Cricetulus griseus: one gene and its partners. The main gene of each other region encodes a partner of the protein of the gene in region 5 in a complex. Links are inferred from orthologs where the notes say so. Each region holds a gene or a part of one and is shown on either strand. Other genes may lie near its edges. The genes, in order: Nup160, Cetn2, Nup205, Nup107, Nup98, Nup85 and Nup153.

Evidence for each region.
Region 1: Nup98 (region 5) and Nup160 share a complex: the UniProt entries of both Homo sapiens proteins name them as parts of the nuclear pore complex. The link is inferred for Cricetulus griseus from reciprocal best matches to the Homo sapiens genes NUP98 and NUP160.
Region 2: Nup98 (region 5) and Cetn2 share a complex: the UniProt entries of both Homo sapiens proteins name them as parts of the nuclear pore complex. The link is inferred for Cricetulus griseus from reciprocal best matches to the Homo sapiens genes NUP98 and CETN2.
Region 3: Nup98 (region 5) and Nup205 share a complex: the UniProt entries of both Homo sapiens proteins name them as parts of the nuclear pore complex. The link is inferred for Cricetulus griseus from reciprocal best matches to the Homo sapiens genes NUP98 and NUP205.
Region 4: Nup98 (region 5) and Nup107 share a complex: the UniProt entries of both Homo sapiens proteins name them as parts of the nuclear pore complex. The link is inferred for Cricetulus griseus from reciprocal best matches to the Homo sapiens genes NUP98 and NUP107.
Region 6: Nup98 (region 5) and Nup85 share a complex: the UniProt entries of both Homo sapiens proteins name them as parts of the nuclear pore complex. The link is inferred for Cricetulus griseus from reciprocal best matches to the Homo sapiens genes NUP98 and NUP85.
Region 7: Nup98 (region 5) and Nup153 share a complex: the UniProt entries of both Homo sapiens proteins name them as parts of the nuclear pore complex. The link is inferred for Cricetulus griseus from reciprocal best matches to the Homo sapiens genes NUP98 and NUP153.

What each region holds. Positions count from the first base shown.
Region 1 is NC_048599.1:86,086,730-86,090,303, forward strand, and holds part of Nup160 (nuclear pore complex protein Nup160), read right to left. Parts: intron 2,300-3,574; coding exon 2,089-2,299; intron 1,037-2,088; coding exon 814-1,036; intron 1-813. UniProt on the Homo sapiens protein: Functions as a component of the nuclear pore complex (NPC). Involved in poly(A)+ RNA transport.
Region 2 is NC_048604.1:2,887,036-2,891,193, forward strand, and holds the start of Cetn2 (centrin-2), read left to right. Parts: upstream 1-1,290; 5' UTR 1,291-1,335; coding exon 1,336-1,437; intron 1,438-1,442; exon of another isoform or gene 1,443-1,573; intron 1,574-1,592; exon of another isoform or gene 1,593-1,721; intron 1,722-3,438; coding exon 3,439-3,597; intron 3,598-3,875; coding exon 3,876-4,004; intron 4,005-4,158. UniProt on the Homo sapiens protein: Plays a fundamental role in microtubule organizing center structure and function. Required for centriole duplication and correct spindle formation. Has a role in regulating cytokinesis and genome stability via cooperation with CALM1 and CCP110.
Region 3 is NW_023276806.1:192,769,076-192,773,360, forward strand, and holds the start of Nup205 (nuclear pore complex protein Nup205), read right to left. Parts: upstream 2,851-4,285; coding exon 2,823-2,850; intron 1-2,822. UniProt on the Homo sapiens protein: Plays a role in the nuclear pore complex (NPC) assembly and/or maintenance. May anchor NUP62 and other nucleoporins, but not NUP153 and TPR, to the NPC.
Region 4 is NW_023276806.1:138,571,375-138,575,458, forward strand, and holds the start of Nup107 (nuclear pore complex protein Nup107), read left to right. Parts: upstream 1-1,217; 5' UTR 1,218-1,364; coding exon 1,365-1,372; intron 1,373-2,163; coding exon 2,164-2,255; intron 2,256-2,670; coding exon 2,671-2,757; coding exon of another isoform or gene 2,758-2,782; intron 2,783-3,741; coding exon 3,742-3,875; intron 3,876-4,084. UniProt on the Homo sapiens protein: Plays a role in the nuclear pore complex (NPC) assembly and/or maintenance. Required for the assembly of peripheral proteins into the NPC. May anchor NUP62 to the NPC. Involved in nephrogenesis.
Region 5 is NC_048596.1:97,239,852-97,243,425, reverse strand, and holds part of Nup98 (nuclear pore complex protein Nup98-Nup96), read right to left. Parts: intron 3,309-3,574; coding exon 2,879-3,308; intron 1,577-2,878; coding exon 1,347-1,576; intron 1-1,346. UniProt on the Homo sapiens protein: Plays a role in the nuclear pore complex (NPC) assembly and/or maintenance. NUP98 and NUP96 are involved in the bidirectional transport across the NPC. May anchor NUP153 and TPR to the NPC.
Region 6 is NC_048600.1:128,156,075-128,160,441, reverse strand, and holds the start of Nup85 (nuclear pore complex protein Nup85), read right to left. Parts: upstream 2,835-4,367; 5' UTR 2,723-2,834; coding exon 2,690-2,722; intron 901-2,689; coding exon 807-900; intron 1-806. UniProt on the Homo sapiens protein: Essential component of the nuclear pore complex (NPC) that seems to be required for NPC assembly and maintenance. As part of the NPC Nup107-160 subcomplex plays a role in RNA export and in tethering NUP96/Nup98 and NUP153 to the nucleus.
Region 7 is NC_048596.1:266,381,757-266,385,330, forward strand, and holds part of Nup153 (nuclear pore complex protein Nup153), read right to left. Parts: intron 1,432-3,574; coding exon 1,075-1,431; intron 217-1,074; coding exon 1-216. UniProt on the Homo sapiens protein: Component of the nuclear pore complex (NPC), a complex required for the trafficking across the nuclear envelope. Functions as a scaffolding element in the nuclear phase of the NPC essential for normal nucleocytoplasmic transport of proteins and mRNAs.

The DNA of each region.
Region 1 (3,574 bases), on a different chromosome or scaffold from region 5:
CTTGAGAAAAACAAAAAAAGAACCACAAAGGGGCATGTAGCTGGTATACAGAGCAAGGGAAAAGAATGAACTAATGAGGTTAGAGATGACAACGGGGCACTCACTGTGAGCCAATGTATGGAGACTGGGTTTATTCAGATCATGATGAACACTGAAGTAACATGATTTTGCTTTTTATGTGTATGGGTGTTTTGCATGCAAATATATAAGCATGACACTTTGATGCCCTTGAAGTCCAGAAGAGGGCATCAGATCCAGTAGAACTGGAATTACAGACAGTTATGAGCTGGTATATGAGTACTTGGAATAGAACCCGGGTCCTCTGGAAGAGCAGGCAGTGCTTTTAACTGCTGAGCTATCTCTCTAGTCTCCCCTAACCAATGTTTACTATATCAATCTGCCTGGGAAGTTCCTGAAATGGGAGGGCAGATCTGGAGACATTTAGGACATTAATCCAATAATGTAGGCAAGAGACAGTGGTGACTTGGAACAGGGATCAGTTGTCAAACTTGGTCCCAAAATTCATTCTCTGTAAATACAGTACTTCAGTATGAGGGTGGAACAACTAATAATTTATGTCTACTATTGAACTTAGAATAGGCTAATATACATGTAATCTGTTTCCCATACCCAGCATCCCATCTAGTTCCTCATCCACTGAATAAAGGTATGCAGCAGGGACCAAGCAAGAAATAATGAAAGCAGGAAAAATGCAGACTCAACCCCTACACTGACAATGGATGTGATGGAATGCCTGTTTTAATGTCAACATTGACAACTAAAGATAAATTCATGCTCCTTTCCCATTCTTACCAGGTAAGTCATAAGGAGGTAGTTTAAGAACAAAGATGCCGCCAGCAGCAGACGGAAGAGCAAACAGAGCCTCCCCATCACTGCTAAGCCAGGCTGCAGAGGTGGTAGAACTTGGGGACAGTCCAGGTACTGTTGGAATTAACTGATAGTTGCAAGGATCTCTGAAATCAACTTTTCCAATGTCAGTAAATATTGACTGCATTTGACTTTCAGTTACCAGCTCCTGTAATGAAAAAGAATCTGTTTTGAAATAACCTGAATTTTGTTGAGTTCCTCTCAATTACTAAAAATGTTTATTTAAAAAGATATTGATGGGTTGGAAGGATGGCTCAGTGGTTAAGAGCACCTGTGGCTCTTAGAGAGGACTTGGGTTTTGTTCCCAGCACTCACATGGTAGCTCACAACTGCCTGTAACTCCAGGTCCAGGGGATATGATGCCCTCTGCCCCCCAAAGGCACTGCATGTATCTGGTATATCTATATGCATACAGGCAAAACACTCATAGGTATAAAAACAAATGTTCCAAAAAAAATTGTTGAGCATGAGATGAAGCTTCCTCCCTGCCAGGCAGTGGTGGCACATGCCTTTAATCCCAACACTTGGGAAACAGAGGCAGGCATTGGATCTCTTCGAGTTAGGCACCAGCCTGGTCTACAAAGTGAGTTCCAGAACAGGCTCCAAAGCTACAAAGAGAAACCCTGTCTTTAAAAACAAAACAAACAAACAAAAAACCTTCCCCCCGTCCCTGCTAGTCAGGCTGTCACTATGTAGCCCAGGTTGGCCAGGAACCTCCTCTGTACAGCTGAGATTGCTCTGAGACTTAAATCCTCCTACCTCAGCCTCCCTGTTAATGGCTTACAGATGTATACTGTAGTACCTAATGAAAACTATCCTTTTTAAAGAAAGAAAACTATTTTATCAACTTGAATGTTTAATCTTTTTGTTGTTGAGACAGGGCCTCATGAAGCACAAGATGGCCTTGAACTCTAGGATGATCCTGAACTTCTATCTTTCTCTTTCCATCTCCTCAGTAGCAGGATTACAAGCACAAGCTAGACTTATGAGGACAGAACTCAGGGCTTTGTTCATGAGAGGCAAATACTCTATGACTGAATAACATCCCCAAGCCTAATTATTTCAAACAATAACTATAAAGAATGATTGGTTAACAAGGAATCCAAATTCTTTCCATTTCAAAGATATCATTCCAGTCCTAAATCTGTGATAGCTAGCATAATATAGGAAACAAGTTATTGCACACAACAATCAACTTACACTTCTGTACATACGGGAAGGGTGTGGTAAAATTAACCTGTGCACTGTCTGATTGGTTAATATCAAGATTATCACATGATTCTGAGTTTCAGAGACATGAACTCCACTGGGTAAGATGCTGCAATTTTGGAATTTTAGGCGAACTGCATTATTCAACAAATTTATGTCCAGTGATTCCTCCACCAGCTCCAATGTATCCCCAGAAGTCTTCCTGTTAAAAGAGAGATTTAATTAAAGTTTTTCTTTCTCAATGACTACCGCAATAAAATAGACGATAATAGTGCCTTAATGAACTCTCCAAATTTGAAAAGATTAGACAATTTGGGTAACTTTTCTTCTCTCTCTTTTTGAGACTAGGTCTCTCTGCATAGCCTTGCCTGCCCTGAACTCACTACATAGACCAGGCTAGCCTCCAACTCAGAGATCTACCGGCCTCTGTTTTCCTGAGAGCTGGGATTAAAGGAGTGCACCACCATGTCTGGCTCAGACCACTTTTCCATTTAAGGACAAGTTATGTAGACTTAGGAAAACAGTGTAACAAAATCTAAATATCATTACAGCAACGTTAAATATACATCCCATTTTCTTAGTCCCTACTTTACTTAAGATAAATTTTACTGCTGGTTGATGGTGGCTCACGCCTTTAATCCCAGCTCTTGGGTGACAGAGGCAGATGGATCTCTGTGAGTTCAAGGCCAAACTGGTGTACAGAATGAGTTCCAGGACAGGTTCCAAAACTACACAAAGAAACCCTGTCCTGAAAAACAAAAACAAAAGGTAAATTCTACTACATAAAAATTAACTCCACCCATCACTTGTTCAGGAACGAGGTATCCATGCACATTACAGCACCAAACAAACAATAAATAAGCACATTTCTCTTTCTATTACTTTTTAGCATATTTTAAAAATAGCAATTTTATGAGTTTTGCTCTTGCTGTGTAAAGGTCAATATTAATATTCTTAAAAATATAAAAATAGCTGCATGTTGAGCACTATTACTCTTCAAGGAGAGCTTCTGAATAAATGGCAATAAGTACTTTGAGTGTAGAGGTAACTTCCATGTTTACTTGGATATCTGCAGACCTAGAGAAGTATCTGAATCAGAACTGACACTCAATAGATTCTGTCTGATAAGACACAAATGCAACTGGCAGCAGCATGTGTGGGAGGGGAAGGAGGGCGCTTAATTTAAATCCAAGTCACAACAAGGGAGCCAAAATGTTCTGTCGACAGTCATTATGTCTGAATTTAAATTCATAATTCTAATCACCTCTACTGCCTGCGCTGCCCATTATACCTATCACAGATACTGCCTGCCACTTTATACAATTCTGCAAGGTATCTTTCTTTCTTTCTTTCTTTCTTTCTTTCTTTCTTTCTTTCTTTCTTTCTTTCTTTCTTTCTTTCTCTGAGACAGGGTTTCTCTGTGCAGCTTTGGAGCCTATCCTGGCACTCGCTCTGGAGACCAGGCTGGCCTTGAACT
Region 2 (4,158 bases), on a different chromosome or scaffold from region 5:
ACAAAAAAATTATACACATCTGTGACAAAAATTCTCAAAGAATTAATCAAAATATTGTATTTTTTCAAAGTTCATGGGGCTGGGTAAGGTCAATGCAGGAAGAGTTTATCAGTCATGAAAGCAGTGTCTTGGGTGGGAGTTAGCCAGGGATGAGGAGGTGTGTACCAGTGTGGGTATGATAGGAGGAGTTGCATGCCAGGGAGACTTTGGTGATAAATCCAGCTCATAATGTTGATGAAGGGCTGGGAAGAAGCCGAAAAAAAGAAAAGACACTTCAAAGGCAGAACTGAGAGAATCCAGGGGCTGGGTATGGGGGATTGCTGCTAGAGGGAACAGAGTGGTCGAATGGGATACAAAAGTTTTGAATCTGGTTCATGGCTCCAAGGAAGGAAGGTAAACGGCCTACATTACATTTATAGTATGCTGTTAAGTTTCTCTGGCCTTTGTCAGTTTGAGAAACTGATGCTATGGCATTAATGTCCCCAAACTAATATTCTATGCCTTGAGGGAAGCATGTGTGATGGTTGAGGTACTGCTGTAGCTGACCGTGGACCTCCATTATTTCTGGAACAGTTCCAGGTAACACCACCCCCCCCCCTGCACACATTTCTGTTTAATGCTCTATGCATCCAACATTTCCAAAATCCCTGTAGCTTTTCTTTGAAGGAAGTTTCATCCAGGAATGGTCCTTCTCATGTGACTTTTGTGTCTGCACGTTCTAAAAGGGCACATTCTGATGACTTTTCTAGACCCAGAAAGTCCCCAGTTCATCATCTTGAGAACTACATTCACAAAGACTCGCCTGCATTGAGTTTCTAAGTCCCAGCCCCGTGAACCGCTGATACAACAGTCAGCATGCCCACTCCCCTTTCTAGGCCTCAGCTGCCCCAAATAGTCACCCCTGCAACCCGTTAGGCCAAATCTTTCCTGGCCCCATAGATAGTCTGTGTTCCCATCTCGGGTTTTACCATATCCCACCCATTCTCTCTCATTGTCTCCCGGCTCTTTTGCTCACACGCAGCAGCCTCCATGAGCAAGGCCGCAACTCTTACCCGGTTTAGGCACTCTTGCAGTCGACTTCAGCTTGTTAGCAACCTGCAACCAGCGAACTTCAACCCAAGACCAGACACCCTTTTCTACGGAGAGGTATGGGCCCATGATCAGCCGAGCTTCCTTCCTCACGTTGATTGGTCTAGCGCGGGTCCGGCGCAGCCAGTTGACGCTCACAGCGCGATTTTGTCCAATGAGATCGTCAGTCCTTGCCGCCACCACACTGCCCTCTTACCCTGGGGCGGACCTTGCCAGGTTAGCCCCACCTTCTCCGTCCGCAAACCAATGGGAAGCGGGTCGCGCGCGCGCAGAGCAGTGGGAAAGGCGCCGAGGCCGCGAGTACGCGTTGCCTTAACAACCGGTCGCGGAGGAGTCCATTCGGCGATGGTAAGTGCTGGGCGTTCCATGGACCCTGCGTAGTGCCTCCGAGCCCTTCCTAGGCCTCATTGCGGCCCTGCAGCCTTTCCTGCATTCTTCTTCGCTTTGGCGTACTAGTTCTTCCTTGGAGCTCTATGCCGGAAGGGTAGGAGAAAAAGTACAGCCTCTGGCCGCTAGCCTGCCTGCGCTTCAACACTTAACCCTCCCCGCCCCCAGTCACCTTCAGTCACCCCTAATCTGCCTGTTGATCTCTGCTGGTTTTCCTGGAACCACAGGTGACCATTCTGTTGCAGGTAACACTCAGGCTTCCCACAGACTCAGACCTCAGACAGACACAGGCGTCCTGGCCGCTGCCACCTGCTAAAGTTTATGCGTGGTACTAAGAGATTTACTATGTTCTGATGGTCACAAATGTATTGAGGCTTTCAGGAGATGCTTTGAGCTTCGCAGACAAGGCACCAAGTGCTAAATGGATTGGGAACTAGCATCCTAAGTTGATGTTTTAAGTACATGTCTAGAACTCAGATCCCCAGATTCACAGACAGTTGATATCTGTTAAGTATGCATAATTAGTTTCTCACCTAGCTTTCTTTCAGGATGAAAAATAAGGGGTTTCCTGGCCTCTAAAATCAATATTTTTTAAAGAGTCAGAGGTTCATAGAAACATTAATTGTTCTTTCCAGGAAACTTCCTTATTGCTCAATTTATTAGGCAGATCTTTAGAATCAGTTGGTATAAATTATTTTTCCATTAATCAGCTGTCTGAGTTAGCAGTGGCATTAGAACAAGGAGGGATCTTTTTTTTCATCTTTGGTAATGAAAACTTAAACCACACCGTGTTGCTTTAATTGAATATACAATATAGAAATTTGTGACAATCTATTCATAATAAAATTATAAGTTTATTACTTACAAACAGATATGGTCTCAAATTTGCTGTTTACTAGCTTTAGAAAAGAAGGAGAAAATGCAAGCATGTTGAACCTTTAGGTAAACATGTTATTCTCATTCAAAGAGTTTTTAATGTTGCTTTTTTTTTTGTTTTTTTTTCGAGACAGGGTTTCTCTGTGTAGCTTTGGAGTCTATCCTGGCACTCGCTCTGGAGACCAGGCTGGTCTCGAACTCACAGAGATCCACCTGCCTCTGCCTCCCGAGTGCTGGGATTAAAGGCATACGCCACCAACGCCTGGCTAATGTTGCTTCTTTATATTTAAAAGTTTTTGATTTAAGAAATCTTGATTTAAAAAATTTAATTTTCTAAAGTGACATGTCTATTAAAGGTACAAATGAATACACTATCTGTAGTATAAACTTGAAGACAGTGGAGGCCAGAATTATATCCTGTGATGAAAAACTGGTCATGTTAACACCAGAAATTCATATTCATATATTCATTTGCTCTATGTTGATCTATACAGGGACAAGGAGAAAAATGTTAATATATTATTTTAAAATGAAAAGTCCCTTCAGGCTGCTGGCTCCCCAGTGAAATATAATTGGATTTAATCATGTGAGACATTACATTATTAACAGAAATGATGTTTTAATTTACAGTTATGGTAGAACACAGTCATTTAATTAGTGTATTGCTGATTTTCTGTTTTTTACAATGTGATACTAAAAGCTAAAATATACTTATTAAAGGGGTTTTAAATTAAAGAGAGTTTTTCTATTTTTCTTCTCAGGATTTTTTTTAGAGTTGGGGTTAATTTTACTTAGTTTGAACCCTTGTTATTTGTGTAAGGGAGAAGGGGACTCAGTCTGAGCATGAAGGTCAGAGAACAACTTGGAAGAGTTGATTCTCTCTACCATGTAGGTGCTGGGTTCTCACTTATGTTGTCAGGCTTGGCAGCAAGACATCTCACCAGCTTATGAAAGTTTATAGAATGACATGTACATTACTCAGAGTGGAGCATAAATGAAAAATTTATGAATGTCTAGAACTGTCATAAATAAAATATGGACTATGGCTTATAATACTGTGCTTCTGTGTTTGTATAATGTCTGAAGGCCTCTACTTTTAAGAAGACAAACATGGCATCCAGTGGCCAGAGAAAAAGAATGAGCCCTAAGCCTGAACTGACTGAAGAACAGAAACAGGAAATCCGGGAAGCTTTTGATCTCTTTGATGCTGATGGAACTGGAACTATAGACATCAAGGAACTAAAGGCAAGCTGCACACATTCCTGTTTTGGTGCCTTGTGTTTCCTTGTTGTTTGTCTTTTACCTATCACCTTTCTCCCTGTAAAAAGTAACAGAAAAAGGTACCCTGTGTATATTTAACCTGAAACAATGATCTAATGATAAAAGTTGATTGCAAATATCAATTAAATCAGCTTTACAGTGTTCCCTAATCATTTTCACCATTTTGTTATTATCATCAATAGCCATTTTTGCGTCTACATCATTTATATGTGTTTATTTAGATGATCCTGTTTTCGTTGTAGGTTGCAATGAGGGCTCTGGGCTTTGAACCTAAGAAAGAAGAAATCAAAAAGATGATAAGTGAAATTGATAAGGAAGGGACAGGAAAAATGAACTTCAGTGACTTTTTGACAGTGATGACTCAGAAAATGGTAAGTTAGTTGAGATAATGAGCATACTTCCCATCCATAATGGTAGATACATGGGAATCTAGACATAAAAAGAACTTCATCCAATAAAATCTATACCATTCACATGATTGAGCATTGTATTTATAATTAAGAGGATCCCTAATTTTCATTTGGC
Region 3 (4,285 bases), on a different chromosome or scaffold from region 5:
CACTGATGACAGTTTAAAACATCTGCTAAATTTGAGGCTGCAGGGATGGGTCAGTGGCTAAGAGTGCTGCTCTTACAAAGAGTCCAAGTTAGGTTTCCAGCACCCATATCAGGCTCACAACTACCTGGAGCTCCAGCTCCAGTGACTCTAATGCCCTTTTCTGGACTCTACACACAATATAAAACATCTGCTAAACTTGGTGAACTACAGAACACAGAACCCTAACTAGAGCTGTTTAGGAGGATAAGAACAGACTAAATGCTGGCAACACTAGGAAGTGTGGAAAGGGAGCCAGTGAATGCATACTGACAATCCCCTACAAGGTTTGACAATGAAGAAAAGCAAGAGCATGGTAAATAAGTGAACATGAGATGAAAGCAAAGACAGGTTGCTGGGAAAATGGAGCAGGAGGAAGCCACATGAAACAGAGAGTAACAGAGGAAGGGCATAAAGGGTGAGATTTACCACTGGCAAGGTCGCAGGAGGAAGCGATGTGCAGAAGTATCTAGATTTTCAGACACGAGAGTGAAAAGATAGATGCTGCTCGCTTTTTCTTTCTCTAGGTCCATTGGAGGGTAGAGGTTTGAGAAGTGGAAAGGGTATGAAATAGTCCCCACTGTGAATTAAGCAGGGGTGGCCAGGTTGTCTAGCAGTGTCACTAGCTGCTTACAAGCTTAGGAATGTAACTACTTGGTGGGCATGATAGGTCACAACAGTGTAAGCCAGTTATACCCAACAGGTATAAAAAAACTCTATAGTCATCAACCCTCCTTTTCTCCTTCCACACCACTTAAGTTGTTGTGACTACAGAAATAATAGAAAACATGGCAAACAATAGCTACTTAACTATTCTTGTGAACAGCAGCATTAAGCATATTCACACAGGTGTTACAACCAACACAGTGTTACCTTTTTAATCTTGCAAAAGTGAAATGCCAAGGCAGGCCTGGAGGTGCATGCCTGTAACTACCAACCACGCAGCACATGAGAGGCTGAGGGAGGGATGTGATGCTCTAAGGCTATTCTGAGCTGCCCAGGCTACATCATAAGAGTACCCCCCAACACACACACTTTTTTTTTTATCTGAAACTTTCTATTCCTTAAATATCACTATCATCTCTCACTTTTCTAGCCGCTGGCAACTGCCGTTCTAATTCTACTTTTTTGTTGTTGTTTTTACAGTAGCTACACTTGGTAAGTGTAGTTGTTTTGTTGTTGTTGTGTATGTGTTGTATTTCACTTAAAGTCCTCAAAGGTCTTCCGTGTATCACGTGACAAGATTTTCTTTTTAATACTGAAGTTAGTCCTTTGTGTGCACATCATGTTTCGTTTATCCATCCATTCATCTATAAATGCTTAAGCTCTTCCCAAAGATGACAAATAAAAAGAAAATAACTCTCTTGGCTCCTGGCTTTTTTAAATGCTTGCTTTTCTTGCTGCCAATTAAAGCTCTCTTGTACAATGTGTACTCCTGGGAGTACTGACAACGGCTTCTTTCCCTCAATGGTTCAGTTTAACATAGGGATATTATATGCCAAAAGTGCATGTAACACAGCTACAACACGGAAGCCAAGGCTCTAAAAAGTTTTAGTGGTATATTATGTATCTACTTGTGGGGGGCAAGCATGATATGATGTCACAAATCAATGCAGTGCACACGGGAGCACACACACACACAAAGGGTACACCCACACATATGATGTCACAAATCAATGAAGTGTACACATACACACACACACACACACACACACAAAGGGTACACCCACACATATGATGTCACAAATCAATGAAGTGTACACACACACACACACACACACACACACAGGGTACACCCACACATATGATGTCACAAATCAATGAAGTGTACACACACACACACACACACAGAGACACACGCACAAACTCGCACGCACACGAAGGGTAGGCCCACGCATATGAGGCCCACGCATATAATGTTACAAATCAATGAAGTGTACACACACACACACACACACACACACACAAAGGGTACACCCACACATATGATGTCACAAATCAATGAAGTGTACACACACACACACACACACACACACACACACACAGAGACACACGCACAAACGCGAACACACACGAAGGGTAGGCCCACGCATATGAGGCCCACGCATATAATGTTACAAATCAATGAAGTGTACACACACACACACACACACACAGAAACACACACAGGTATACACACGCACACACAGACACACACGCACACAGACACACACACGCACAAACGCGCGCGCACACACACACGAAGGGTAGGCCCACGCATGAGGCCCACGCATATGAAGCCCACGCATATGATGTCACAAATCAATGAAGTGTACACATACACACACACACGCGCGCGCACACACAGAAACACACACAGGTACACAAACGCACACACTCACACTCACAGAGACACACACACAGACACACACGCACACACAGACACACGCACACACACAGACACACGCACACTCGCAGGGTGCCAGGCGGGAAGAAGGAGCCGGCCCGGGCCGCGCGCCCCACACACTCTCGCACGCACGCACACACTCACCCCGGCCCCGCCGCGCCGCCTCCGCTCGGAAAGCGCTGCTCCAGGGCCGGGCCGCAGCCGCGCCTTCGCGCGCCATTCAAACCGCGGAGACGCGGGGCCGCGGGCCGGGCGCGAGCCGGCAGGCGTGGCGCTCGCACTCGGAAGAGCCTCGCCGCGCGGCCTCCCTCCCCCGCCCCACGCCCGAACAGGCCCCGCCCCGCCCCGCGGCCCCTGCGGGTCTCCCGTGGACACCCCACGGCCGCCCAGGCGCGCTCACCAGAATTGACCGCCAATAGCGCCGCCATCTTGGAGGAGGACTGCGGAGCCCTCCCTCGGCGGGGAGGACCCCGGGCCGCAGGGCCTGCCCGCGGTGGCGCCTGAACAGAAAGGCGCCCCGAGGTCGCCTGAGCACCGCGCGCGACGCTCGGGCGGGTGGACGCAGGACTCCAGACTCTGCTCCGACCCACGGCCGCAGATTCTCGCGGCGACCATTCTCGTTCAAAGGAGGCGAGGGCCACCGGCTCGGAGATGGACCGTGCAGTGCATCCTGGGACCTGTAGTTTATTTCCAGGGAGACCTGAAGTTGACTGGTGTGGAAAACGTACATCAGTGGAATAGTAAGAAAAAAAAAAGTTCTTCAAGAGACACCCACTTATGGTTTCATAAAATTCCTAAAGACAAACAATTACCTTCATTTCGACTTAAATGTTATTTGAATATCTCCCTTACCTTGAGGGAGTAGAAGTTATTACAGCATTTCTATTTAGTAAGTATATTGTGTAGACGTTGCATTTTATGAAACGTTCAGACATCCACAAAATATGAACACTATCTACCCGATTTCAAAAATGTCACCCGTTTGCTTCCTCGCCCCCAACATTATTTTGAAGCAAATTCCAGACACAATTTCATAAACACCAAGTGTTTTTCTACCTAAGCAACCAAAATCACTAAACGCACTTGCTAAATTTTAGTTTGCTAACTTCTATGTTTTCACAGGAGTTTATTTATTTTTACGGTACCAAGGACTGGACCTAGGACTAGCTCATGTTAATCAAGTACTCTGACACTGAGATATTATTCAAAACCTTTTTTTTTTTTTTTCCTTTCGAGACAGGATTTCTCTGTGTAGCTTTATAGACCAGGCTGGCCTCGAACTCACAGAGATTCCCTTGTCTCTGACTCCCGAGTGCTGGGATTAAAGGTGTGTGCCACCACTGTCCCACTCTAATTGAACTCTAAATGACCCTGCAGTCATTTTTAGCCAGGCTACAGGAGGAGCACTCTTCCTGGTGTTGGCTCATCGGAGGATTTGTGATTGGTACCGATCATAATTACTTATATGCATAAAGTATTGTGCCATGATTGGTGCAAAACCCCTACTGTATACCCTTTCTGGTTATACAAGCCCGCTGTTTGGCTCTCTTTTGAAGTCATCTGGGAAACACCCTTTTTGTACTGCCCCTTGTTGTTGTATCCTTAAGACCATTAAAGGGCTTCTCTCAAAAATAAAATCTATTTTTTAATCTGTAAGATTAAAATGACATGCTGGGCTGGTAACAGGAGAGTTGAGGTGACAGCAGACCCGTGAAAGAAGCAAAGGTGACAGGGAACGGCAGTAGTGGTCACAGCAACAGATTCAGCAACCAAGATCCCACAGGGTGACGAGGTACTGAAACCATAAGAATTGACAGAGGCAAGAATGGATGGTGGAAATGTAAAAAAGTCAAGAGAGGGCAG
Region 4 (4,084 bases), on a different chromosome or scaffold from region 5:
TTTGTTTGTTTGCTTTTTAACTATTCCATGAGCTCTTGATACCCTTCCAGTACTTTTTTTTTTTTTTGCTTAAGTTAGACATTTCTGTCATGGTGGCCAAGCACCCTAAACAAAAAGCTAGTATGTATACAATATACACCCATACAGGAGTTTATTTCACAGAAATTTAAAGTAATCAAATGTGTATCATTTAAATATTTTAGGGTGCATTTTGATGTTGATGTCTGTAAGTTAAAGGGGTCAGATATGGTCCAGTGGGCAAGAACAGTAAAGAAAGTAAACATGACCATTCCATTAGGGGTAACATTTTGTTATGGGTAAGGAAGAGAAATGATCCAGAGGCAAAACTGGAAGAGTCCAGAGCAGAGAGAAAGAGAAACAGACTATGGACAGGCCTAGGGAAGATGGGGTAGTCAAGATAGCCAAAGATAGAGTTTAATGACAGGACAGCAAAGAATAGAAATTATTTGGGGGTGGGGGTTGGAAGGAGGACAAATAGCTATCAAGGAGGACCCCATTTGAGGATGGAAAACCTCAAGTTCCAGAGGGATGCTGGCTTTTATCTAACAGCCAGAAATCCTATGGTTCAGGTTGAGCTCATGTGGAGGGCCTGAGACCTAACACTCTGAGATGCTGGAACAGGTTAAGTCTCTCCATGCTTAAAACTTTTGAAAAATATTATATATATATATATATATATATATATATATATATATATTTGGTTAGGATCTTATTCTTAGTCCAGCCTGGCTTCAAACTCATGGTGATCCTCCTGCCTCAGCCTCCCAAATGTTGGTATTACAGGAGTGAGCCCATGTGGCATTTATGCACTGCTTTTAATTTTTAAAAAGACGGCTGAATCTGTAAAGGGAAAATAAATAACAATGATAGAAAACAACTAACCCGCCCACTGAGGCTACACCACAAGCGCCCGAGACAGGCCCGTGTCTGTGGAGTGTTGCGGGATGCCAAGGAGGAACGCCAAGGCGGACTCCATCGGAACCCCAGTTTAGCCACTTCTGGCTTCTCAGCAGGACGCCCCACCCAGACCACGCCCACAAAGGCCGCTCGGGGCTCCGCGCCAAGCCCCGCCCCTTCCCGCCCCCTCCCAGCCTAGCTGGCACCGCCCAGTCACGCAGGCACGCCCTGGCACACTTTGGCGCCTGCGCCTACTCGGTCGACGATAACTGCGCATGCGCCAAGTAGGAACACTTTCTCCGTTCCCAGTACTTTTCGCAGGGGCTGGCTGAATCAGGGGCATGCTTCCGGGTCGAAGGGTTTACTTCCGGAGAGCGGGAAGGCTGAAACGCGGTGGCGGCATTGCGGGCAGATTTGCGAGGTTCTAGCTGGCGGAGGCCGCAGCCATGGACAGGTGAGTCCTGGGGACGGCTGGGCCAAGACTTGTGGCTCTCGCCGGTTGGCGGGACGACGTGGTGAAAGCGGAGGAGGAGCCGAGGGTTGTACGTTCACTCCTTCCTTCTCCCTACCTGGGATTTGTTGGAGGAAAGGCCACTTGGTATGGGGGCAGCCAGGATGCAGAGGATGCAGATCCCCGCGTTCCACGCCCCGGCTCCGGGGTCTGTTGGGCGCTCTCTCGCCGCCGTTCGCCCCGAAGTGGGCGGGGTAGGTAGGTAGTGGCGGCCCGGCATTCGAAATGCTAAAGTGAGCAGGCAGTCCGAGGTCACTGCCGGTGAGCAATACTTGACATCTCAGTACTTTGCAAAGTGGCTTTATCGTGGCTATTAATACATTTCAGTTGTACGTTAGTACACTGTGATCAGCTTAACTTGAAGAGCCAGCACCAGGTAGCTGATTTTTCTCATGTAATCTGGTGATTATGCTCGCCTGGGACAAGGATGGGTTGGTTATTCCAGTCGCTTGGCATCGAGGAACCGATTGTGTAGTGAAGAGAGCCAAGCAGGGTAATACTGTGTTATACTGTTCTGCGGGAAAATAAACAGAGGGGACGTTAAATTCCCCGTCACAGGTGTGTCAGGGAAACCTGTCAAAGGTAACTTGCTAGCTGGTACTCCTGGTAGAAAGGTTTAAGGTTTGGCTGTTGGAGTGACCTGTCCTTTGACTGACTCAGGGTCCTTTGCTCTAACTGCAGTGATAAAGTTGTTTTCGTAAATGCTGCCCAAAAGCTTAATTACACTATTTTAGGAGTGGCTTTGTGGAGATGCCATCCCCTGTGATCCGGGAGGCAGAAGTGACAAGGACTGCAAGGAAGCAAAGTGCTCAAAAAAGAGTTTTAAGTATCCTTTGTGTTTTAAGAATTACACAAATTGCAGAATGCTTTGAATCAATGTTGCAGGATTTTCTTTGAGTCATTAGACATTAACTGTGGTAAAAATTGGCTTATTACCTCCATGGGTATTTTACTTGGATACACACTCTGGATGAACTTCAGTGAGGTTAAGATTTCTGTTTCTCTGGTTCCCTACTAGTATGTCATGGTGCTAACTAGTAGTCAGTACATATTATCTAACTCTGATCTGAGAGTTTAATTGACCGAAGGAATTAACTACTATGTACACAGGAAACGTGGTAGCTGTAAAATGCTTTGTTCTTGACAAAAATGTATTCATGCATCTTGTGTAGTAAATCTATTGTTATCGTTAGTAATTTTTTTTTCTCAACATGGAAAGCTTTCCTTAATTCTTCCCAAAGTTCAGGCCAACCAAGATGAAAATTTTGGTAATACTACACCAAGAAGCCAAATTATTCTTCGAACTCCGAGCTCATTTCGACAGCCTTGTAAGATTTTTGTTTCTGCTTTTAAAGTATTTAATAGAGTAGTAGTCATAATATCAGCTAACATTTATATAATTTGCATAATGAAATATGTGGCAACAGTATCAGGAACTAAGCATAGATAATAATGGTTATAGTTATCTGAACTCTTATGAATAAGGACTGTACTTTATATTAATACATAGTAATGGTGACATACTGTTAGTTCTCCAAACTAGAAGGTGGACTTGGAGGAGCCAGTGGGAGTGAGTGGGTGCTGTTATTTAGACATTGAAAACAGAGTTCAAATAACAGTCTGGTTTGCTTTAAAGTCCAGGCCCACTACACTCACTGTATGCCTCATTGTGCTCTCTGAAATCAGACAATGAAGGATCTGCTGACTGGTGCCACCTTGGTTGTTTTAATTTTAAGTCTGTGCAGTTAACATTTATATTGAAAGTATCTTTTATAGTAAAAAAAATTTAGTAGTAGTATGATAAGCTCAACTTTAGAAAAATAAGCTAATTCTTCCATAACATAAACATTTTAAAGTGTTTGATCTGAATCTAAATAATTGAAAATTGAGAAATTGTTCTTTCATATGTAAGTGTGGGTGTTTCATGTTCATGTGTATGTAGATGCATGAATATATACATGTTCCTGATGAGTGTCTGGAGGAGTGTGCGTGTGCCTGTGTGTGTGTACATGCACATATGTGTGCACACGTGTCTCCAGGTGAACCTTGGGTGTTAGTCCTTGGGAGCCTTTAAGACAGTTTCCCATTAGGACCTAGGGCTTTCTGATTAGTCTAGACTCTCAGGGTCTCCTGTGTCCTCTCCCTGGCACTAGGATTACAAGTGTGCACCTCTGTTCCAGAGTGTCTTACTAGATGCTAGGGATCAAACTCAGGTCCTCACACTTGTACCACAAGCACTGTACTGGTGGAGTCATCTCCCCCATACCCGGGAAAATATATTTGTTGCTGGTCTACTTGCTCTGTGTTTACAGTTCCTGGCCTTTCACTTGTTACCCCACCAAGCCGAAGCTTACTAAGACACCCAGATATTTCCTGCATTCTCGGAACGGAAGGGAAGTCTCCCCGGCACACACAGTCTTCTGGGTTCTTGGGAAATCTATCCATGGTATGTAGAAATAAATAATGCACTTAAGTATTTGGCTTAAAAGCCTTTTAATGCGCCGGGCGTTGGTGGCGCACGCCTTTAATCCCAGCTCCCAGCACTCGGGAGGCAGAGACAGGTGAATCTCTGTGAGTTCAAGGCCAGCCTGGTCTCCAGAGTGAGTGCCAGGATAGGCTCCAAAGCTACACAGAGAAACCCTGTCTCAAAAAAAA
Region 5 (3,574 bases):
TTTGCAAGCTGTTTGTCTAACAGGGGATTAGTATATGTAATAGAAAATAACTAAAAAAGAAAAAAAGTAATAAAACCAAACAAATCAATAAATCGCTAAGCAAATGAGCTAACACTTTTCAAATGAAGTAAAAATCTTTAACCACTAGGGGGGGGAAAAAAACCCTTGAGATTCCATTTCACCCCAGTTAGAATGATTAACATCAAGGAAAAATAAAACAAAACCAAAAAAAAAAAAAAAGACAAATACTGGCTGATGACTTGTAGAGAAAAGGAAATTTCAACTTGTTGCTAGAAACGTAAATTAGTCCAGTCACTATGGCAACCAGTATGGAGGTTCCTGAAAAAATTAAAATCTAACTACAGTGTGATTTAGCCATATAACCTCTTATCCCAAAGAATTAAAGTCAACTCATAAAGAGATATCTGAACACCTACTGTGACTGCAGCATGATTTACAACAGCCAAGTTAGAGAATCACTCTTGATCTCAATCAACAGAGGTAATGGATAGAAAAAGTGTGGGTGATACACATGGTGGAGGTTTACTGAGCAATCATGAAGAATTAAACTAGGCCATCTGCAGGTAAATGGATGGTAAGCAAAATAAGCCAGACTCCAAGCAAAATCAAATCAAATCTGTATCCCATGCTCTCTTTTACAAGTGGAATTTAGGAAAAAGGAAGTTTAAAAAAAAGAAAGGAAATCTATGCTAGTGGCATATGCCTTTAACAGTACTTGGAAGACAGAGTTAGAGGCTAGCCTGGTCTATAGATTGAGTTCCAGGATAGCTAGGGCTACATAGAGCAACCTTGTCTCAAAAAACAAAAGAACAGACAGACAGATATACATGAGTGTAAAAAGGACTAACAGAGATACAGAAGGGATAAAGTTAATTAATAGTTATAATAGAGGGTGAATATGATCAAATTATGTTCAGACAGACAGACACACACACACACAGTTAGCACATGCCAATAATGATAGAGGGCAAATAACAAATGCAGATCTCCTGACACAATGATAATTACAAATCTAAACTTCCTACATAGAACTTTAAGCAATGTTACTAAATGTCTTTGTCATTTGTCAGTTAAAGGGTTTCTTTTCACCTACTCTCATGACACTACTATTACTTTTTCAATCTAACTAAAGGCTTTTAAGTTGCATAAGAATAATTACAAATGGTAACTCATAATTTCTTTCTTCTTGTCCCAGGTGAGTTGCAGAAATTCATTAAGCACAGGAAGTCACCTTATACCTATAAAGAATATGTCTCCTAGAAACACATGCTACTGTCAACATGACTCCTGGGATGTCAAAGGTTAGCAACATGATGAGTACTTACTTTGTATTTCCAGTAAATCTCTGGGTGATTCCTTAACCCAATTTGCATAATCATGAATGACTGAAACTCCAGGATTGGGGACAATGAGAGGACACAGCTCGTCTACATGGACAGTGCTATGTTTTAACTTGAGCTCCAGAGGTGTCTGGTATAATTGCTGATCTTCATCCAGCTTCCTTTGTCTCAAACTGAGTTTTTCCAAATGAACTTTGAATGGGGATTCAGATAGACTGGAAGAAACAACGGATGAGTCAGAAAATGAAGAAACAGGTGAAATTTACCTATACCAGCTATTGTTTCTTTGCTGACTTCCAATAGAATAAGAAGCATTCCAACAGAGCTATATTTGCAGCTCTCAGAGCTTATTTCTGTTTTTAGAAATGATTTTTGGGATATATTTTTATTTAAGTGTATGTGTGCAAGCTGTGGTCTGAGGCAAATGATGCTTGAAGAGGCCAGGAGCAGGTGTCAGATACCCTGCACTGAGTTACAGCAAAACTGCCCAATGTGGGTGCTGGGAACCAAACATGGGTCCTCTGAAGAGCAGGAAATACTCTCAGCCACTTAGCCACCTTTATAGCCTCAGCTTTTTAAATCTTTTTTTTTTTTTTTTTTTAACAGCCAAGTGTCTGGAAACTTCTTTCTTTCTTTTTTTGCTTCTTAAATCTTAAAAAGACTAATTGGAGATGGACTGAAATAGTAAGAAACATTTATACTGTCAACATGTATAAACTCACTGAACAAATGTAGGATAGACGAATGAACTGTAATGCAACAGAGCACCGATCAAGGTACAAGTGTGGGTGGGAATCAGTAGTTAGTGGTTTCATCACTTGCTTGTGATGACACTACAAAATTCAAAGGCCAAAGCTTTATTATAGAATACCTAATTTGCAATTACTTTGATGTCAAGAGTTATAAAGACTAACTTTTTGATTCTCCAGGCTTCACTGCCCAAGTGACTAGATTATATAGGTGTATACCACCACACATGGCCAGATTCTAGATTACTTATTCCTTTGTTTGTTTTCGTTTTAAATGAAGGGCTAGAGACTGAAGCCAGGGCATGCTAGGGAAGTGCGGTTCCACTATTCTACTGGGCTATATCCTAGCACTTGAGTTTCTAAGATAGGTTCTTAGATTCTTGCTATATAGCTCAGGCTAGCCTACAACTTGTGATCATTTCTGCATATCTTTGAGTGCTAGGATTCAGGTATGTGCCCCCATGTCTAGAAAGACTCTTAAGTTCAGATGAGCAGAAGACAGCCTGACCTTGATGCAGTTTAAGATATTAATAATCTCCAAAATCTTATATCATCATCTAGAGTCAATCATTAAATTTAGAATGGATTTTCCTAACTGTGATGTTCAAGACACTGATTTTTGTTTTTCCAAAATCACCTTCAAAAATAAGTAATCATATTCATTTAATTCATCCTAAATGTAGATAAACTTGTTATGTAGTATAAAAAAATAAGAATAGCCCCCAATTACAATGTCATTCGCAAAAAGCACCAGGAAACATAACTTACGATTTAACAGCTACAGGATTGGGCAGGAATCCATATTCCATAGAATCGGCAATCTGATGATTTTCCAGTTCATGGGAGCCATGTAGTTGTTCTCCACTGTTAGCAAGAGTCCAGTTGGGGCCCCAACCAACCCGAAATGAACGTCCCATGAATAGAGCCATGTCCATCAGGAGTTTCCCCTTGCCATATGTAACAGATTTTTCAAGAGGGACTAGCCCTGGTTGCCTGCGTATCCCCACTGTTTTCAGCTGAACCTCAGGAGCTGGGCTGGGCACTGTGAACACAGTGGCCAGTGGCAGAGGGACAGACCAGGGGGATGTGGATGGGACATTCATTAGAGATGATGTTCTGGGAGTTCGACATTCTTGCATGGAGGCATTTGGTGAAAGAAAAGCTCCACTTACAAATTTTGATTGCAGCAACCCACCAACTGAAACAAGGAGAAAAAGACTCTAAAACAACAGCTTATTTCTTCCATAGCAATAAAAACCACTAAGGGTGAAGATATTCCGATTTTACAATAATTACTTTTGTTTTTGATTTCTTGAGACACAGTCACTATGTAGCTTATGTCCTAGAACTCACTAGGTAGACCAGGCTGGTCTCACCACCACACCTGGCTACAATATAGCACTGGCTATATTGATCTATATAGATCAATATGTAGATCAAGATGTCCTTGAACTCAGATCCCAT
Region 6 (4,367 bases), on a different chromosome or scaffold from region 5:
AACAAGCCAGGAGCCTTGTGGTAAAATATAGACTAATAGAAATAGGTTAATTTGCTGGGCGTTGGTGGCGCACGCCTTTAATCCCAGCACTCAGGAGGCAGAGGCAGGTGGATCTCTGTGAGTTCGAGGCCAGCCTGGTCTCCAGAGTGAGTGCCAGGATAGGCTCCAAAGCTACACAGAGAAACCCTGTCTCGAAAGAAAAAAAAAAAAAAAAAAAAAGAGAAATGGGTTAATTTAGTTGTAAGAGCTAGTTAATAAAAGCCTAAGGAATTAGGCCATACAGTTTATAATTAATAAAAATTAAGCCTGCAGGTGGGTTATTGGGGAACCAGCAGGCAGAAGAGAAACTTCTAGTTACAGAGTATAGGCTGCTCTTCCAGAGGATCTAGGTTCAACTCCCAACACCTCACATGGCAGCTCACATATGTAACTCTAATTCCTGGGATCCAATGCCCTTCTTTGGCCTCTGCAGGCACCAAACACACAAGTAGTGAATTAATATGCATGTAGCAAAATACTCATACACAGAAAATAAATTTAAAACATTTTCACATCAAGTGTAGCAGTTCACACCTCAAATCCCAGCACACTGGAAGCTGAGGGGGGAAGATGTAGAATTCAAAACAAACTTGGGCTACATAGCAAGACTATACAAATTCAAGCCGCACTATAACTATATTAGGGGACCCTATCTCAAAATTACAAAACAAAAAGTTTCAAAAATAAAAATGTTGCCAAATAACTACTGTTTCTGCCCCCAGGTAGTCAACAAATGTGCAAAGACAAAATGAACAAGAACAAACTACCTTTTTTGCTGAAGGAAGTTTCACACAGGAGCATCTCCCCGGGACCCCAGTCAAAACACATTTGCTTCTTTTTGGAATTCACGCCTGGAATCCACTAGTAAAACATAAAGCACAGAACTGTTATCCTAGAAGGGGTTTTCTTCTCCATCCATGTGTAATCATCAGGCTGGGCACTGTGAGCACTCGGGGAGCAGCGGCAGGTGGGTCTCTGAGTACCAGGTCAGCCTGGTCTACACAGCAGGATAGCCAGGGCTACAAAGAGAAACCCTGTCTCAAAAGACCAAAAAGGAGGAAAGGAAAGTCAGCCCTGACTGATCTTCCAGAAGACCCAGGTTCAATCCCAGCACCCACTTGGCAGCTCACAACTATCTGTAACTCCAGTTTCAGGGGACCCAACACCCTCATACAGATATACATATAGGCAAAATGCCAACGCACATTAAGACAGTCCCTACATAAGCAAGGCAGTCTGACTGGGTACCCCAATCCAGTTTGTCACTTCTCTCTCAAGAAGCAAAGCCCAGAGTGGCAGAACACACCTGTATCCCAGTACTTAGGAGCCTGAGGCAGGAGCATCACTAAATTCAAGGCAAGCCTAGGCTACCGAAAGGGGAAAACAACAAAAATACTTAACTATGTTAAAACAAACTCCCATCAGCCTGTGCCACCTCTGCAAACCATGAGTCTAAATGTTTCTCTCCAGTTTATACCAATCCCTTTGAACCTTGGATCAGATCTAACTATCCAAGCCATACAGATATGGGCTATTCAATCACTTAAACCCACAAACAAGAACCAAGAAGAAAAACTTCTCCCCTAAAAGATAATTTATTCACGTGCCTACGAGATGACTCATCGGTTAAGAGGACTAACTGTTCTTTCCAGAGGACCAGGGTTCAATTCCCAGCACCCACATGGCAGCTCACAACAGTCAGTAACTACAGGATTCCACACCCTCACACAAACATACACACTGGCAAAACACCGATTAAAAAAAAATTAAAAGGATAATTTATTCACAAGACAGACAAAAAAACAGGAGATACAAGTACCACTTGCTCCCACCGGGTTTTTTTTTTGTTTTTGTTTTTGTAAACAAGGGCCCAGTTTCTCCCATCCACTTCCCAAGTGCTGGGGTTATGCCCTTGCTTTTGGAGAATGGTCTTGCAACCTAATTACCAAGCTAGCCTCAAGTGATGAGTCCCCAGCCTCAGGGTCCAAAGTCCTGGGCTTAGGCAGGGGCATCATAATACCTGGCTAAGAACTTATCACAGATTATCCACATTTGACAAAACGGTGCTGGAGAGGGGGCTCCCGAGGCTAACTGTGTTTAGGGTTCTTGCAAAGGACTAGAGTTCGGTTCCCGGCTAAAAAACACCTGTAACTCTAGCTCAGGTGGTATCCGACGCACACACGTTCTTAAAAATATTTTTACAAGTCCAAGCGAATAGAATCCAAATCGACGGAAACTGGCAGCCCCACAGTCTCCAGAGAGAACAAATGAGGTATCTATTAAGCCTCGGGCCAGCACCACAGGAGAGGGCGACGCTAACTGAGCTCTCAGAGCGGCGATGTGGGACTTACACCGAGCTCGCTCCAACGCCCGCGGAGGAGAACTAGACAAACAGAAAGATCAGAACGGCAGGGGATGCAGTGGGGCCTCCGGGGCCCGCGGAGAAGTCCCGGGAGCTGAGCTGAAGCCTGGGGACCATCACCGCCCCCACCCAGCTCCCCGTTCATCTGACACCCGGGACGGTGCCGCCGCGTCCCGGGCAGAAGCGTGCGTGCGTCCCGCGGCTCGGAGGGAAGGCAAGCCTGTAGTGACCCAAGAAGCGCAGCCTCACAATGCGACAAGCAAGCCTGGCTCTCGCGGGCGCCCTTACAGTTATTGCGGGCTCGCAATCGAGCTCCTCCATTGCGCTGGGGCACAGCGGACCGGACCTCGCCGCGCCGCCGCCGCCGCTCTCCGCTCAGGCCTCCCGCTCACAGCCAGCTGCCAAAGAGGACCCCACCAGGGCGGCTTCCGCAGCGCCTGCGCAACCCAACGCAGCAGAGCCCTGCTTCTCAGCCGCCACCCAGCCCTCTGCAGCCGCCCATTCATACACCACCACCCTGCCGGGGACAACGCCTCAGGAAAAACCGCGCAAGGGGCCACCCGTCCTCACGGAAGGCTCCCACCGAATCAGGCGGCGCCGAGGGCACTCCCACACCTGGCAGGGAGAAGGCCCCCGGAGATGGCGGGAGAGACGGCGGCCGGGAGGGGGCGCGCATGCGCGGTCCTCCGGAACGCGTCTCCGGTTGGCTTCTTGGGAAACGCGCGCTCTTCCCGCGGGGCGGCGGGCGCTCCCTGCTCATCTGCGCTGTCAGGGCTTCCCGGCCCCGCGCCGACCGCCGTTCTTCTGCGCTCGCTCAGAACGGCCGACTAACACCTGCAACAGGGCACGGAACGGGAAGGGGGCCAAGCGGCAGTCCCGGCGCCGGGGAAGTGGAGACGGGAACCCCGGGGTCCGGGCCCGGCCGGAGGGTGAGCTCACACCACGGCTCAGTGAGACCGTCTCAGAAGACCAGCAGCCCCACAAGGTGTCCAGGAAATAAAGGAAAATCCCTTGGCCGTCAAAATTTCGCCCAAATCCTTGTCGCGGAAATCAGCCCTAATGTTGTTAACATTTACGGGGCTGGAGTGTTGGGTCCCTGGGTAAAGCGCCCTGGCTGCTCCTCCGAGGATCCCGGTTCATGTAAAACAACAGATCCCATGCCCGCTTCGCCAGACAGACAGACAGACGCGGGACACAGACACGCAGGGAAAACACTGGTATACACACAATGAAATAATTGTTTAAAATATTAAATTTACTGTAATTTGTATTTTAAATGAATAACTCATTTTGTTTTTCGAGACAGGGTTTCTCTGTGGCTTTGGAGGCTGTCCTGGAACTGGCTCTGGAGACCAGGCTGGTTTCGAACTCACAGAGATCCACCTGCCTCTGCCTCCTGAGTGCTGGGATTGAAGGCATGCGCCACCAACGCCCAGCATTTATATTTAATTTAAAAAATATAAATTAATCGTTACGAAAAACATAACGATTTACCACATGTATTTTGCTACCTTTTCCAAAAGTTTCACAGTGTCATTATAATCACTGACTCCAACAGTATATACATTTGGGGTGGGAGAAAAGGGGGTTCAAGACCGGTTTTCTATGTAGCTTTGGAGCCTGTATTAGAACTTGCTCTGTAGACCAGGCTGGCCTTGAACTCACAAAGATCCTCCTGCCTCTGCCTCCTGAGTGCTGGGATTAAAGGCGTTTGTCACCACAGCCCAGCCAGTTACACGCAAAAATAATAAAAATAAATTTAAAATAAAGGGAGCCCAGTGGTGGCACACACTAGTCCTAGCACTTGTTGGGGGTGGGGGGGTGGGGGGTGGGAGGTAGAAGCAGGCAGATCTCTGTGAGTTGAAGGCTAGTCTGGTCTGTAAAATGAGTTCCAAGATAGCAAGGGCTGTTACCCAGAGAAACCCTGTCTCATTCAACGATAACAACAACAACAAAAAAAAAGAAT
Region 7 (3,574 bases), about 170 Mb from region 5:
GAGGTTGGCTGCTGCTTGACACTGCCCCAAAAGTAGGTGGTGGTGCAGGCTGGGAACCAGCAGAAAACAACGATGTTGAAGATGATATAGAGCCAAAGCTTGGAGGGTTAGGTTGGCTGGCACCTTGACTTTGTCCAAATGTTGGGGTCGGGTTAGCACCAAATGCTGGACTGGCAGATGGTGCTGAATGTCCAGTGCCAAATACAAAGGAGGATCCTGGAGGCCAAGAAACACTTAAATCAACAACATCCAGGTTTGTAGTGAGATTACTCCTGAAAAGCTCTGTAAACCCACAAGCCAATTTCAGGCCATTTTTCAGACTCTTACCTTGATCATAAGCTTTGATGATTAGACCAATGACACTATTTACTAAAACATACACTAATTTAACAAAAACTTCAAATAACAAACTCTCCACTATTGCAACCAACAATCTTCTACTAGGAGGAGGAATGTACTTAAGACAGGGCTAGTCTGGAACTTACTTAGTACTTAGGTTCAACAATTCCTTCCTAAAATGATGCAGCATATAAGGCTTCCTCTGGGTACACTGTATGAGAGAGCTCACATATATCACTATCACCACTATCACTATCTGGCTGCTTAGGAATTTGACAATCCAAAAAGCAACTTAGAAAAATTATATATTCTTCCTGAAATTAGGTTTTCTTTTCTCTCTCCTCTCCCTCCCCCGACTCTCCCTCCCCCGCCCTTTTGAGGCAGTGTTTTTCTGTGTGGCTTTGGCTGTCCTGGAACCTATTCTGCAGACCAGGCTGGCCTTCAAGTAACAGAGATCTACTTGCCTCTGTCTCCTGAGTGCTGGGATTTAAGGCGTGTACTACCAAGCCCAGCTTGAAAGAACTGTTCTTGAGAGTTAACGCATATATAACCTGAACATAAACTGCTATTTCTCCACAGGTGGAAACTTGCAACATCCTACATGTAGGTGACTTTGAGGCACTCAAGGCACCCGAGACAGATTAGAACCTGCAAGAATGTGCTACAACTGGCACACTTATAGCAAATCCAATTCAACTACAAAATCCACTTTTCCCCCTCCTATTACTAAAGTACCTGAAGAGCTTGATGTGGTAGCTCCGAAACTGAACCCCGATGATGCAGTGCTGTTGCTGCTGGCTCCTGATCCAAACACAAAGGGAGGGGCAGCTGAGCCAGTGCTGGATGTGGTGGCTGGCTTGCTATCTTGAGGGAATAACAAGGACTGAGATGTACTGGACTCTGCAGAGTTACCAAAGGCAGAGCTGCTGACAGGATTGCTGGCCTGGCCAAACACAAAGGCTGCCACAGGAGGGTTGGAGGAAGAGGTGGAACTACCAAATATGCCACCACTGGATGAAGTGGCTGCTGGTGCACTTGAACTAGAGGAACTGCTGTTCAAGAAGCTAAAAACTGGCTTGGCTGCACCTTGATCTGCAAAATAATAATTGAGAAACAAACATAAACCTTAAAAACAAATTGCCTAACAATTTTTTTCTATAATATAAATTAAGATTATTTTTATACAGTCTGACTCATCAAATAAACATCTACTAACACTTTAAAATATCAAAGTGTGTATCTTTTATGGTTTATGGGTTTTCTCTTTATACAAAGACCTTCAACTTTCAAATAACAAGTCTATGCATATAAATTTAATGTGAAATACACAGTGCCTCACATCCAAATCTAACTTGATACTGTATTCAGAAACCAAATTCAGTTGGGTTGGAGAGATGGCTCAGTGGTTAAGAACACTGGCTGCTCTTTCCAGAGGTCCTGAGTTAATTCCCAGCAACCACATGGTGGCTCACAACCATCTCTAGTGGGATCTGATGCCTTCTGTCATGAAGGCATACATGCAGTTAGAGAACTCATATTAGGGAAGGGAGGGAGGGAGGGAGGGAGAAGGGAGGAGGAGGGAGGAGGAAGGAGAAATTCATACAGTAGAAGCTAGATGCACTTTTATGTGTTTTGACTGTACAGTTTGTCATATTATAGCAGCAGCACCCTAACTTTATCCACATCAACAAATCGACAAATCAACCTCCTCACAGCACTGACTTCCCTTCAGCACTTGCTAACCCTTGCTACCTAGTACACTCTGTGGAACCCTAAATTAACAATGTGTGCATCTATTCCCTTTGCTGTCACTGCATGCTTCTCAAATTCCTTGTTCATTCACTTTCCCTACAAACTGCTGAAGTAACTTAGCTTCACAAGATATACAAAAACTAAGAACTGAAATGAAGGGAACAAAATACTTTTCCCATGAATGAGTTCATCTTCTATGTTCCTGCATTTACTCAGCATTACCACCATTGTAAATTAGAATAATTAAAAAATACAAGTCATGTAAATGCTGTACAACTACTGACTACCAACTTAGAGGACACCTTCTGATTTTTACACGGTAATGATGAGTTTACAATCTGACAAACTTTCCTTTCTACTTTCCCAGTATCTCAGCTCCAACAGTACACAAGAGATGGGATGGGCAACTGCTACAGGTGAAATTAAGAGTTCATGGTCAAATATGATTAGAGCATCTCATTTTTTTCCCATTTCAATGATAATTTTAATTCTGATTTTCTTTGTAGGTTGTTCTTAAATTTCCAAGTAAATATCAAGTAGGAAAAAACAACTTACCATTATGTGAATTTCCAACTTTAGGGTTGATTATTATTCATTGTTTCCAAGTAACATGTCCAATTTACAATCTTTGCATGCCTGAAAATAGCTACATTTTGCTTTTATGTGTGATCAAATTTGGCTAGTTACACAATGATTCAAGGTTATTTCATTTGTAGAGCACTGTTTAGTGCTCGTGATAAAACCCCGGGTTTTGCACAAGCCTTGGAGAGTGTTCCTTTTACCACTGATTAATGGCCAACTTCCATTTTTAAGGTCAATGTCTATCTTAAATTTTAACTCTGTGTGTGGTGTGTACTACTGGTGGTTTTGAGCCACCTGAAATGAGCACAGGGAACCAAACTTGTATCATCTTTAAAGAACAGCATGCATGGCTACCGAGCCCTTCTCTCCAGTCTCAGTGTCTTATTTTATACACAGGAACCATTATGTCAATGTTTTAGTGTTTCCCTATATCATTCAATTTCAAAGTCACTTACAGATGCAGCTGTCCATCCTTAACACTGCTCTGGGAAACCCCATTACAATAATGAGCTAGATGATGCTCTTTCTACTATTCCATAAGCAAAAGGCTTTACTTCAACAACCTTCTCTAGTTTTTTTCCTTCTTTAGCTTTTTAATGGGCTTTTGTATCCCCTTCTAGTTCCCCAAATTACCTGATTTCTTAGAGTTAAACTATATTTACTCTCTATGTTCCTCACTTTCACTCATTATCGGTAATTGTTTGTAAACTAAAATTCAACATAAGATTTTTCCCTGACAGCATGCATCAACTATAAGGTGTCCAAATGACATTAAGACATATATAATGTGCCCCATTCTGCACATTCAATTACAGCTGTATTTCTCAAAATTAGATCTGTAGGTATCCCATTCCAACCATGGGTATTTGGTTCAATTAAAACAGAAAAGCATGAGCTCTTT